2 linked regions of the Oreochromis niloticus genome follow. The protein of the gene in region 2 binds, or shares a complex with, the protein of the main gene of each other region. Links are inferred from orthologs where the notes say so. Each region holds a gene or a part of one and is shown on either strand. Other genes may lie near its edges.

Region 1 (6,841 bases), on a different chromosome or scaffold from region 2:
TGGTGAAGGGGTTATCCTGTTCCCCTCTCTCTTTCTCTGGTGTTATTCAACTTTCACCAGACATGAAACACAGTGGGATTTTTGTGATCTGCACAAGAACAGTGATGTGCTGTTCTTGTGAGTCAGTTGAGGGCTTGCAAGATACAAATCAAACTGACTAGGCAATGTTATCACCTGTTTTATTCATAGAGTTGCAACATCCTCTGAGAGTTTATGCCTCACTGAGAGAGGTGTGTTCATGCCTACAACATTCAGCAGATTCCTCAGAGCAGTGATAAAGCAGGGACTTTGTCAGGGAGGGAGTGGCTCATCTGCCCTTTAACACTCGGGGAAACATAAAGTACTCACTCAGTTACAATGCCAACAGAGAAAGCTGTCTGGATTAAGCTTTACCAGCTTCTCAAATGGAAATGGTGCTGGTGCTTGCTTACAAAAACACATGTATAAAAAGTTGAAGATTTATAGGCAAATCTGTCTAACTTAAAGATTACATAGCTAGGAAACACAAGACACAAGAGGTTTAAAAGGATTCAGCACTTTTAATGAACAAAACTTTACAAAAAAAAAAAAGCAATGCTTTTTGGTCTATTCTCTTCCACTGTTGTACTTCCTACTTCTTTCCAGTCTTCTTCATTTCCAGCTGATAGCACTGCTCACAGGCAACAGACAGTCCAACAACCAGAGAAACAAACTCCTCAAAGTTCACAAGACCATCACCGTTGGCATCCAAGTCTTTCATGATCTTGTCCACAGCAGCAGGATCTTTTTGACACTGTGTTTAAAAAAAGGGTGTGTGAGGATACATCAGCAACAGTGAGGTTGCACACGAGGTGGCATAGTGTTGGATTACAGTGTGTAAATAATGCGCAGCGTGATTGTACAATTTACGTTTTGGTCTCATCTCACCTTAAGGAAGCTGGAAAGCTCAGCCTCCATTAGCTGTCTGAGGTTTTGCCGGGTGAGCGAACCATTCTTGGCGTAACGGTGGAACACCTTGATGAGTCCTTCCATGCAGTTTTCCAGTTCTGAAGGCATGGTTGCTGGAATGTGTTTAGACTGAAAAACAATGTTCAGATACAGCAGAAAATGTTGACTATGACAAGTGATAGCAATCCAGTTTAACTTCAGCTGACATTTTCCAAACAAGTCCTTAGAAAGCATTTATGAAAGCTGCTTTGGCTGTGACGCTGTTAAACTCGTCCATTATTGATGGAGCTGACACATTTGGGTCTTTGTTGTACTTCCCACTGATGAGTGATGCTCGTGGGACGACAGTAAAGGTATGTCATTGAAATTTTAGTAAACCACTGTGCAAAATACAGAAAATCTCAACATTTGAATTACTGTCTTTGTAGCTGTAAGAGTTAAAAGAAAGGAGAAGTGGGAGGGAGGGTGTGTTATTTGTGTGCAAGAGAATGGAAAATGTGAACAACTTGAACTGAAAAATGTGAGACCCAAAATGGTGGGATTCAATGTGAGTAATGAGATAGGACACTGGAGGAACAAGCACATGTGTGTACATGCCCACACCCAACCCAACCACCCAACCACACCCTTACAAAGGCTTATATCGACTATATGGAGACCTAGTTAACTGTCTTAAATGTGAATCAGAGCTTAATGTAAAAATGTTAATTATATATTTTATTAATAAAAGTAATTAGAACATTGGAAAAACAATTAAAGTGTAATTAATGTGAAAGATTGAAAACAAGAGAAAGAAACACAATAAACTAACTAAAAGTTGCAGCCTAACTTAGTTACAGCAGAGGAAATACACAGATCCGTTAGAAACCGTTAGAAATTCACAAAGAGGGAGCTTCAGTAAATACAAAGCAGTGACTGGGAGCGGATTAAAGTAGGTTAGACAATATGAAACACTATTCTCACACCCAGAGGGTCCTAGCTGTATGTCTGTATGTTTGAGCAACTAAAGTTTATATTAAAAAAAAAAACTCGTGGCAAAGCCACACCTGTAGGACAAGAGCAGAAAGTTTCTTACCGTACAGTTGCTGGGACGTGGTCAGCAGAAGAGGTGCGAATGTTCAGACGTCTGCAACAAGCAACAGAGATTTTATAGTCAGGCGCCGCCCTGGCTGTGCGCACTGACTCACACTGTGGCTGTGCAGACGCTGGACTCTCTGAACAGTTAATACACTGGAGTAATAGGAGAGTAAATATATCAGTACGACTTTAGCTTAAGTTTAGTCATCTGAATTAAAAACAAGGAAAAAGTTAGTATTGTTGCTGATAGAAGAGCTAAAAGCCGTTTTTGTGGAATTTAAGATAAATTTTCATCAAAGTTTAGGCTACCGGTTTAACAGACCCCCCGCCCCTCTCCACCGCCCACCTCCCACACACGCACTACTTTTCTGTGTTAATCTCCATAATAAACACACCTTAGGTTTAAAGGATTTTTAAAAACTATTTACTGTAATTTCGTAGGCTGGAAAATCTGTAATTTACCTGTTAGACTTACTGATACCTAAAGGAGTATTCATACGACAGCTAAAGGCCCGAGATTTTCTGTCTGGTATTGTGAGACAAAATACAGAGAACAACAACAACAACAACAACAACAACAACAAATAGCAACTAAAGAACAGGATTTTTGATAAGCACAGGAAAACATACACATCAGCAGAAGAGCCAATCAGCAGCATTCTGCTGAGTACAAGCTCAATTCTGTAAACTATCGCTATCATTCACAACAGAGGCAATCCAGCCAGTGTGGTTTCAAGGACTGTTTTGTCTCATATTATCTGCATTTATATTCCTATCATAAGGTGAACCTTTACTCCTATTATCCTGAAATGCTTTTTATATCAAAGATGGACGACAGATAGCTGGATGGATACAGTGCGCCACATTGTGGTGAAAACAGGGTATTACAAATGGTACGCTTTGGACCCAGTGTTAAAGCTGTGTCTGAATAACAAACCGATCCGTTTGTATCTCATTTTATTAACAAAGGAGAAAAAAAAACATAATTTAACATGAAAATCACCAAAATACTTTATTGCAATGTTTCCTGCACTCAACTTTTTGTTATTTTAACCTATTTGATCTCGCTATGTATTAATGTTAGGTTTCATGTTAATCTCATAGCTGATCAAAGTGGAAGTGCTTTTTACTTTATTAGCCTAATCCTGTAATCCTAATCTGTTGTCCCATATAAAGGACAGTAGAAAAATGTGTAAAAACAGACATACACAGTGCTTAACAAGAAAACTAAAATATTGTAAACCTGTTTAAAAAGTTTATTAAGCAAATAACAAACTGAATATCTATCTATTTTTTTTAACCCAAATTTCTGCCAGCACACTTTTAACCTCTACTACCTTTTTTAACCTCTACCTTACTATTTTTCTTGCTGTTATCCTTAAATATATCATTTTAACTGAAAGACCTACAAATACAGTACTTGACTAACTCTCTTTTTCTAATAACTCGTCAGTCCAGATTTCCAGTTTTGTTTCTTGGTTAAACCAGTTCTCTTCTTATTATCAGACTCCATTAGTAGTGATTTCTTGAAGCAGTTTTCTGAAAAGGTGATCTTTTGCAGGGAGGGTTCGAAGAACCGTAAACACATTATGGCAGAAAAATGACTATATCAATTATTGGTGTATAGAGTGGAAGAGTGCAGGGAAGATATGGACAGAGACAGACGATCCAAAGAATGATCCTATGATAAGGGTTTGAAATAAATACTTCATTTCATCTGAAAAAGTTGAAACCAGGACAAACAGTAACAAGTTTCACACAGATTTGTTGCCAAAAAAACATAACCAGCAACTGAGTACACCACGCACGTTTCCATCCTGCACTTACCTAAGTCCTTGTGCTTTACTTGGCTTCCATATAATAATAATTATATTACTGTCAATAATAATAATTCTATTAATAATTAACCACTTATCCAGGTCAGTGTTGTGGTTAGTCTGGAGCCGAGTTTTTACTGGGTGAAAGGCAAGGTACACCCTGGACAGGCTGCTAGTCTAACACAGGTTAATGTAATAAAATTATTAAAGTGACATTACACAAGATGTCATTTTGTTTATTTTGGATACTTCAAATACATTTTGTTGGTGCTACAGGAATGTGGGACTTATATTTAAGCTATATATTTAAATTAAGGCCATAGTTCTTCTTAAGAAAGGCTTGAGTAATTCCTGGCAAACATCAAAATCGTTGTCATTAGTCTTCTAATTCTCACAAGTGTGTACTGAAAAACCTGACAAACCAGGTCTCCACATACCCGTCGTAGGAAGAACTTTACATCAATATTTGCACTGTGTCTACAGCCATAAAATATGGTGGTGGCTCTGTCATGGTCTGGGGCTGCATTTCAGCCTCTGGTGTTGGGGCTTCTTAAAAGTGATAGATGTACAAATACAATATAAAAAATAAAATTAAATCATTGGCCCTCATAAGCACGAAGCAATAATAAAATAAGTAGTGTACTAAAATACAACTGAAATATAAAAAATAGAATATTTATTCAAATAATGAATGATTAAGAACATATGCTTGGTCTAACTGAATGTATACCATTCAATTAAACTACACAGTTTACCCTGAAAACAAACGTTTTTGGAAACAAATGCATTTCCAAAAACTGGATTACTATCAGTTATCGACTGGCCTCAGCCCCCAGACCTGTACCTTATTGAAGCAGCTTTGGATCATCTTTACAGAGCAATAGGCAGCCAACATTCAAAGAATAGCTTTGAATGTCCTTCCAGAAGCCTAGAGAACTAAAGACTATGTAAATTACAAGAAAGCTTGTATTTTGTTGAATGTCGTGTCAAATAGTATTTTTGGATAGAAGGAAACCATTCAGAAACAGGTCAAGTCAGGAATTCAGAGGCTTATCTACTTCTTAGTTAAAAAAAAAAAAAAAAAGGTAGTAAACTTTATGGCTTTAAAAACAATCTGGGTGGATTTTATCATCCAGCAGTTTCAGTGGTTTACATATTTCACATTCCTATAGTCCTGAAAGGATTACCTATAATCAGAGATGGGCAGTAACGCGTTACAGTAACATGTTACAAGTAACGCGTTTATTTATTTTCTGCTGTTTTACACTTGCATCTATTTGAAAGAGTGGGTGTAAACACAAAACATTTTATTTTATATGCTGGAATATGCAGAAAATAGGTTTAAATGTTAAACAGATTTCTTAAGGTCAAAGACTGTTGCATATAATTTAATTTTTGCTTGATGCAATGTGCATGAAGTTATGATTAAAATTCATTTGATTACATTTTATATGATGGACTATGCAGAAAAAGTAGAATTGGACTAAAAGATCTATTGCTTTATTACCTTTTCAGGTTGTGTATCATGTTTTGAAAGATTAATTACTTATTTTCAAAAGTAATCAGTAAAGTGACAGGATTACTTTAAAGTAATAATTAGTAACTTGAACACTACCGCCAATAGGCATAGTTTTCTAACAGTAGATGGCAGCATTACCTGAAGGAGGTACAGTGGACACAAACATCAGTGTTATATTCTTAAGCCCATGTGAGAATAGGGGGCAATATGGGTATATCCTAACATGGAACAACTAGTTCAGAGGTGTGAATAGGCAACTAGCAAACATTTCTATCCATCCCTAAGACAAATCAAGTTAAAGAAAAAACAAACGCAGTCTTTGACAGACTTTGTTTTGATGTGAATCCAGGTAAGGCCTATATTGGGTTTCTTTCCACATCAGCAGTGCTTTACTTTGGGAAGCCTTTTGAATCCAGTTCTTTCACGACCTTTTGGAGGGCGTCATGGCTTGCACAGGCGCAACCAGCAACCAGTGAGGCGAACTCTTCAAAGTCCACACGTTTATCATCATTGTGGTCGACACACTTGAAGAGCTCATCTTCATTTTTTCCCTGCAAAGGTGAAACAAACATTTAATAACTTTGAAAATAAGAGCCTGTGAATGTAAAGCATTTACCATTTCTCTACTTAACATTACAGGTGTTTAAGTTTTGAGCCAGTCGTTTATGTTCATTTCATTAAAACAAAACACAAGAAAAGGGCCGAGTTTAATAATACTTTGTTCTTTTAATTAATTAATTTAAAAAAAAAAAATGTATCTCTTGGTTCATGCTTTTAGTCAGGCTGTTATGAGAAATTTGCAAACTCAACAGATTTGTGAGGCTAGTTGATTTTAATGCTAAGCTGTGCCTTAAACATTTACATTGCACTTTAGTGACATCGAGACACACATTTAAGGTTACTGTGATCATTTGCAGTGATTTACTACAGTGTTTTCCCTTACCTCACCAAGTACGGGTAGTTCATCCTTCACTAGTTTTAGAAATTGTTCTTTGGTCAGTTTTTTGTCATCTCCTTGGTAGGACATGTAGACACTGAACATTGCAGCCAATGCCATTTCCAGTCTTGTTGGGTCTGACATTTTTGCAGCGCTGTACAAGAATCTGGACAAGAAATAAAATGGATCATGAAATATTATTTGGCATGCATCGGCAGAGGGACAGAAATGTAGATGGACTGCACTTACAATAAGTCTTTACTTTTTAAAAATGTGATTCTTAACTAAAAGTTTTACATACCTTTCAAAAGGAAGAGCAGCTTCACTGAAACAAAATACATGCAGTTAGAGTAGAACCAAAACCCAGCCAGTTTAACATAATTACAGATGAATCTTCAACCACAAGACAAAATTTGTCTAGTTTCTCTCTAAACAATAAAAGTCACAGAAAAGTCTGCTCCTACCTGGATTCAACGGAGTCAACGGAGTGAAGAGAAAACCACCTCCATAGGGTTCAACAGGGTATTTGTGACACTCACATTGGCTGTTTTCAAGATTCCTGTT
Region 2 (7,045 bases):
GGAAGCGTGCACATTGGGAAAGGCATCATTAATGCTGAAAGGTGTATGGATGTTTACAGTTTTGCTAAAAGAAGGTTGGATGCTACACAATGGTAAACATGGCTCTGTCCCACTGTCCCAGTTTATTTTTGAGACGTATTTTACGCCGAGTCCAAACTTTTTTGGAATTGAAGTTGTATAATTTGAGTGAAATGTACATCAATAATGCACTCACAGGTTAGAACCACTTGATGTGCCACTCACTCCAGCTCCACCTGAACTGCTGCTTCCTGAAGCAAACAAACCACATCTTTTATTTAATTTGCATGTTTCGACAAAATCATAAAATGTGTTAAAAGTTTTCAGTACCTTCCAGTGTCAGGGCCATTTGTGATGTCATTTTAGCTTTAATGGGTGAAACCTTCTCAACCTGCACACATGTAAACACACATTTTGTAATCAGTGAACACAAGTTACTCATGAAGCATATTGCCTGAAAAGACTGCAACACACTCCTACTCACACATTTCTCCACAGGGAGCGGCTTTCCTTTGTGAAAGTTGGTGAGAATCAGTGCAATTACAGTCAGAGTTTTACCCTAAAAGAAAGGAAACAGTGCAATTTACGCTGACTGTGGACGCTGTTAGAATATGATCACGTGACGTGTGCACTTAAATATGTGTATCTGTGTGTCACCTACCAGCCCCATGTCATCTGCCAGTATGCCTCCACGAACCCTCTCTGGTAGCTCTTTGGCAGAGAAACACGTGAGGGTGTTGTAGTAGAGCTCGCCTCTCTTCTCCCAGAACGGCGGCAGGGCAGCTTTGTTTTCGCGAGCGCACATCCAGGACAGCGCCTGCTTCTGATGGAGCAGGAGGGGAGTAGCCACAGACTGGAAAAAGAGACGGTTGTATGTTAAACACTAAAGCTGTAATCCGATATAACGAAAAGCAAAAGGGTGTGACAGCTTGGAGAGAAATACGAAACTCTTTCCTTAACTCCAGTATAAAAAAATAAAATGATCTCAATCAATGCATTTAACTATTGTTATTAAAGTAAAAAAAAAAAAAAACATATTGCAGACAAAAGCAGGTAATAATACCTACCACAGCAGCTTCTTTCTCTCCATCCTTACTCTCCATCAACCCTTCGAAAAGGTTATCAAATGCATTTTTTAGCTGAAAGGAAAAAAATATAAGTAAAAAAACACTGTTTTCAACACAGATACATGTTGGTCCATCCCATGAGTTTGTTATTTATTTGCTTGTAAGGTGTCCTTGTGTTTTCGGACCTATAAATAAAATGTATAATCATTATTATTATTATTTTATTATAAACTATAAAGCCTTACAGAGTACTACTAAAACATTTAATGTAATTTATTTACCTCATCAGCAGTTAGTGCAGTGGTCACACCTTTTTTTGATGAATATGCGCGAGCATCTTGTCTACTATACCATTGTTGATTGTCGCCTGAAATCCAACGCATGCAGGTAAATGAAGGACCACGAGCATTTACACACACACAGACACACATTAAAATTGAGTTAATTAAGTCCAGCAATTGTGCAGGGCGTACCTTTCAGTTTGCCTCCCTCGGTGTTCAGCTTATATCCTCGGCGTGACATATGTTCCAGTACAGAATTTTTACTCTCTTCTTTTCCCCAGAAGGACAGCATCACCGGCATGGTGTAGGTGTTTTTCGTCCCCGAGTATACCACCCTGAAAAAGTAATGAGAAGTGTATTAGTACACAAAGGAAATTACAGTTTGCCAACATTAATCCTCTAATAATGAACATGCGCCTCAGCTCAATGTCACTATGACAATGTCACATGTTTGGTTTTGCAGATTTTTGCAGGAAGATTCCCTTACTGCACAACCCCAAAGGGATTTGTCTCTTCTCTTGGAAGCAAACCAGGGATCCTACATTTGTTATCCAAAACAGTACACTATAAGGAATATATGTACAAAAAAAGGAGTAAATAGTTTGATTAAATAATGTGATTTTAGTGGTCAGCAACACCTGAGTGCTTTTGTTTAGGGGTTCAAGTAGTGATAGTCCTATTTTCTGAAAGGGACAATAGTTTCGGGCACATAGCAGCTCACCCTTCTACTTTAGCTAAGTTGTTGTCCATGATGTAAGCCATTGCTGCTGCCAGCTCCTTCTTGATGTGTCCGACTTGATTTCCATAAATGTTGGCAACCATCACTGCGTTGCGGTCATATGGATTCTGAGGCTGCCGCACTAAACCGACCATCTCCCCTTGGTTCACCTGTCCAGAGATAAAAACACCTTTTGCTTTTCAGGTTTCTCCACATGTTTCTGACCTGTGTTGTCTCCTCTGTCCACTAGAGGAATAAAAGAGACCCTGACTGATCCTCACCACCCCTGAGTAATATCTGAGGCCGACCACGGTTCCCTTGAGCTGGCCAAACAACACGCTGCCGTCTGCATCGGGCTCCTCAGACGCTGCAGCTCTGATGGCCTGTGAGAGAGTCTCTGCATTGGATTCATGGCGATCTGTGAAGAGGTCCACCTCACTGAACCTGCCCCAACCAAACTTCCACCTGCGGTTGAACTGCATGACTGCAGCAGAGATAAAAGAACATGAGTTTAGATAACAGAGTACTCTGAAATGATGTGATAAGATAGGCTGCAGACGGTAACGACAGAAAATACGCATTCTAACTTCGAAGACACGCAGATGCAGAAATAGCACTTAAACAGTGGAATTAAACTATAATATAAATAACAATATATAATAAAGTTAGCTTGTCAACCTATACCTACATACAGACTTATAAGCTATTAAGAGTTAGCATGTGTAGTGTGTCCATACAAATAAAAGACTGTTACAGAGTGTCGACATGAAACAAATCGTTCGTACTGTTTAACTTCCTCTCGGTGAAGACTGTAGTTTGTTGTTTTTGACGTATTTTGTTGACGTTTGAGCTACTTTCATCTGCTGCTTATTCAAAAAGTAAAATCGGCTTTAGTTGCTCTATAACTTCCGGTAGTACTTTTCAAAATAAATTATTATCGTCGTTTAAAAAGATCGCCCAGTAAATAGACATTTTTATATGAGAGCTTTCACGTTTAGTCATCAAATGAGTTGTAAAATAAAAAGAGATTAGACAGCGATAACCTTATTCAAGACACCTCTCATCCTGTATCAACATCCTGCTTTACCACCACCAAAACCATACACCCAAATAATATACCTCACTTGACAGGTTGCACCATGCATTAGGGTCTACATATTTTCTTTTCCCTCTACGTCTGCAAAGGAAATCAGAAAAGAAACCAGCAAAATACAGTGGAGGATCTGTGTGTTGGTCCCCAGTAGTACTGGCGATCTTGTCAAAATTGATAGAATTATGATACACAAAAAAGTACCATCAGATTTTGAGCCACCAAATAATACCATCTAGAAAGGATGGGCTGGCCTCCCCAGAGCCTGGACCAGAACATTATTGAAGAAGTGTGGGACCATCTACCACTATCCAAAGAGAGCCCTGAATGTCCTTCAAGAAACCTGGAGAACGATTCCTGATGGCATTTTTAAAGAAATTAAAAAAACACTGCCTAAGAGAATTCAGCCCGTGTTGAAGAATGAAGTTCAAGCTCAGAACTTTAGAACTGTGCAAACTCAGTATTTCCATATATGTTTGCACATGTTTCAATAAATAGCTGCACTCATTTCACTTTTTTCATGCAATAAGAAGAAATGGGGGATGGATCAGACCCTGAATCTTTGATCTAGACAGTACTGTACTTTACACATCTATTTACTGTTAATGTGAAGCTCTATATCTCATCATAATTTTAGACCAGTATATTTTATTAATCAAAGAAAATACAACAAACGGCAGTATATTTTGGGGTTTTTTTTTTTTTTTTCAAAAACCACCAAAAATGTTTTAATTCTTGTTTTTGATCATTGTGCCAAGTTTTAGAATTGTGAATTAGTTAATCAATACTTTTAAAAATGGAAGATGATACGTTTATATAATCAGAACAGCCCTTTTGGGTGTTATTCTGAAAATTAAAGATCTGTTGTTTCCGATGTTATTGCCACGGATGTTGCGCAGGAGCTGCGTTTACGCGCCTTTGAGTTTTGCCCTAAAAGCACTACGGAAGCCGCGTGGTTCCGATTGCTCTGTTTGTTTCGCTTCCTCTCCGCCAGGTTCCTCCCCGGCCCGAGCACGGAGTCAAGTTGAAAACACTCGGGGAGAGAAAAGAGGGCAAACTGTAGCGTGATAAAAGTCGGCTGCTTTTTCGCAGCGGCGAGGGCTGTCGTGAAATCTCAGCGTCAAATCTGGGCTTTAAACGGACTGAAAACAAACAGACACGGGGCGGAGTTTTGGTAGTTTTGGCCGGAGTGCGGTTGAGTTTTGCGGTTGACAGCAACCGGTAAGTTAAGACTTCTTCATTCACTAGTCAGTGCAACACTTGTCTTAAACATTTTGCTTCGGTTTGATCTTTTTCTGGCACAGGAAGCACCCAAACCGGATAGCATCTCCTTCCATAATTACTGAGAACACACTAGATCATACTGATCACTAGATGAGATTAAAAAAATGTATATAATAAAGTACAGGAGGCAAAAAATTAAGATACCAGTGTGAATTGGGTTTGTGGCTGGCTTGGCCACATTGTCATATTGTCAAAGTAATATAATAATTAACCCAAGTGATGTCAGTCTACAGGGACTGTGTTCACACAAACCGCTGGAATCTATTCTACAGATATGAGTCTATAAATAAGCAAAACCTGCTTTAGTAATGACGGTACCGAGAGTGAGGTGTTGAAGTTGCACTCTTGAATGTGATTTACATCTGTAGGACCACATTTTTAACTTAAGTAAGATGGACTTTAAATGAATACAGCCTGTACTTGCAGAGAAATCACACACTTAAATCAAATTTAAACCTAATTAGTGCATTTTTATGACATTTAAAGGCATTTTTGTTGTTGTTTCTAATTAAAATTGATAAAGAACGATCACGAATTTAGTAGTTTTCTAACAAACTTGTAGTCAGTGCACTGTAAAGCAGCACGTGATCAATTCTAACTGTATGAAAATGAATCAGATATATTATAGTCAGTTCTAGACATTGTTTAAAACAAGAGCTAAACATGACTTTTTCTAAAAGGTGTTGGCCAAAACAACTTTCATCCTGGAAAATCGGAGCAATGTGGGGATCACGTGGCTCTGGCTTGCCAAAAAGTGCTATACATCTGTAAATCTGTGCCTGTCATTTCTCCATTCACACTGTGACTTTTGTAATCGAGCAGGAAGCTAAAACATTGCGACTTTGATTCGTGAGTTTAGTTCTGCACCTGATACAAAGCCTAAAGCCTTCAAGTTGCTTGCAGGTTGATTATTTTGAGCCATTAAACTGTTGACACGGGGGTTTGGAAAAACAGGATAAGGTGTTCATTGTGGGTGTGCAGCTGGGCAGCGTGTTTATGCTTCATTTACTGTCAGACTTACGGTCAGGGAAGGGACGTAAATGGGAAGAGGAAGAACGTAAATACAGTGTGTGTGTGTGTCTGTGTCTCTGTCTGTGTGGTGCACATAAATGTGTGATTTCTCATCTAACTGTATGTTTCTGCATATTTATGTCACTGAATGAAAGGAAGGTGGAAGAAAGCTGTGTGTCTGTGCGTGGCTTCATCACTCCTTCCATCACTCATTATCACTCCTTCCAGGAAGTACTCCACAGAATTTCCTTTTATAGAAGCTGAATACAAAAGACTTGTTGTCCACTTCCTGTAAACATCTTGCCGGCCGTGTTCTCCGCTCTCTGGTTGGCTGGTGTGATCCTGTGACCCTTTGTGGCTCAGGGAGTTCCAGGATGAGGAAGTGGGCTTCCCTTGATCGCAGCCAACCACGGAGAATAGAAAGTACCCTGATGTAGTGAGAGAGTGGGGAATGAGGAATAGAAATGGTATAGGCACAGGCATGTTGCTGGCCTGGCGGGACAGAAGATTTTAAAGGCAACATATTTCAGTAGAGCTGAAATAACTGCTCAATTAGAAGCTTAGGTGATTGGGTGAAAGAAAACCTGACTATTTTTCATAATTTTGTATTTTTTTAAAGCATAAAAGCTAAACAAGTGGGTCTAGCTTCTTAAATGTGAAACTTTTCCCTTTGTTTCAGTTTCACATCATTTCATTTATGCACAACTATCTTAAGGTCCAGCCATAGTATTTCAGTCAGTTTGAGGTGTGAGTTTTGACTGGGACATTGGAACACCTTGGTTCTTTTCTCTTTCAGCCATTCTGTGGTTGATTTGCTGCTGTGCTTGGGAATATTGTCTAGACCCAATTGTAAACAAGTTTAGTTGTTGGACAGTGGGCATCACATTTGGCTCCATAGGAGGAAAGCATGGTTGACTCAACGACTGCAAGGTGCCAGGCCTTGTGACCCACAATCACCATGCTTGACAACTGGTCTCAGGTATTAACCTTTTTGGTAATAGAGTTGTCACTTAAGAGAGAAATGCTAAAACCAGCTACCTGAAGCTATGCTGAAAGGCTTAAAGCTAAATGCAATCAGTTTAAGCACAGTTTATGCTTGGAGTGAGACTCACAGAGTAGCTCACCACAATGTCACTGCATGTTGCCCACAATAGTGATGGTATTGTAATACAGCTATTCTGTGATTGTAACTTCAATGTTTACTTTGAAAGTGTTGATAAAAAGGTATAGAAAAGGTCAGGGGTTGCACTTTGTAGAGCTAGAGAAAGCATATGGTAAGGTGCCAAGAGAGGAACTATATTACTATATCAGGAAGTGGCAGAGAAGTGTGCGAGGGTGGTGCAGGACATGTAGGAGAACAGCGAGACAGTGGTGAGGAGTGACAGATGGGTTTAAGGTCGAGGTGGGATCTGCCCTGAGCACTTTCTTGTTGGCGATGGTGATGGGACACGTTGACAGCTGAGGTCAAGCAGAAGTCTCTGTGAAGAGGTAGTGAAGGTGGGTGAGTTTAAATGCCTGGGTTTAACCGTGCAAAGCAATGGACAGTGCACAAGAGAGGTGAAGAAGAAAGCGCAGG

The links. The genes of interacting proteins can lie anywhere in the genome.
Region 1: the proteins of hltf (region 2) and protein S100-A10 are in contact, whole or in part, in a crystal structure (PDB 4HRE), measured with the Homo sapiens proteins. The link is inferred for Oreochromis niloticus from reciprocal best matches to the Homo sapiens genes HLTF and S100A10. Residues at the interface, in NP_001305864.1 of Homo sapiens: Thr32, Phe33, Phe34, Pro35, Phe37, Phe39; in NP_002957.1 of Homo sapiens: Phe42, Asp58, Leu59, Asp60, Gln61, Gln70, Ser74, Leu75, Ala77, Gly78, Leu79, Ile81, Ala82, Tyr86.

What each region holds. Positions count from the first base shown.
Region 1 is NC_031985.2:17,139,026-17,145,866, forward strand, and holds protein S100-A10, read right to left. Parts: upstream 2,156-6,841; 5' UTR 2,003-2,155; intron 1,057-2,002; 5' UTR 1,036-1,056; coding exon 907-1,035; intron 773-906; coding exon 611-772; 3' UTR 520-610; downstream 1-519. UniProt on the Homo sapiens protein: Because S100A10 induces the dimerization of ANXA2/p36, it may function as a regulator of protein phosphorylation in that the ANXA2 monomer is the preferred target (in vitro) of tyrosine-specific kinase.
Region 2 is NC_031983.2:20,228,481-20,235,525, forward strand, and holds the start of hltf (helicase-like transcription factor), read right to left. Parts: upstream 3,016-7,045; 5' UTR 2,870-3,015; intron 2,569-2,869; 5' UTR 2,567-2,568; coding exon 2,366-2,566; intron 2,255-2,365; coding exon 2,088-2,254; intron 1,702-2,087; coding exon 1,559-1,701; intron 1,453-1,558; coding exon 1,367-1,452; intron 1,158-1,366; coding exon 1,086-1,157; intron 872-1,085; coding exon 680-871; intron 578-679; coding exon 503-577; intron 410-502; coding exon 349-409; intron 270-348; coding exon 215-269; intron 1-214. UniProt on the Homo sapiens protein: Has both helicase and E3 ubiquitin ligase activities. Possesses intrinsic ATP-dependent nucleosome-remodeling activity; This activity may be required for transcriptional activation or repression of specific target promoters.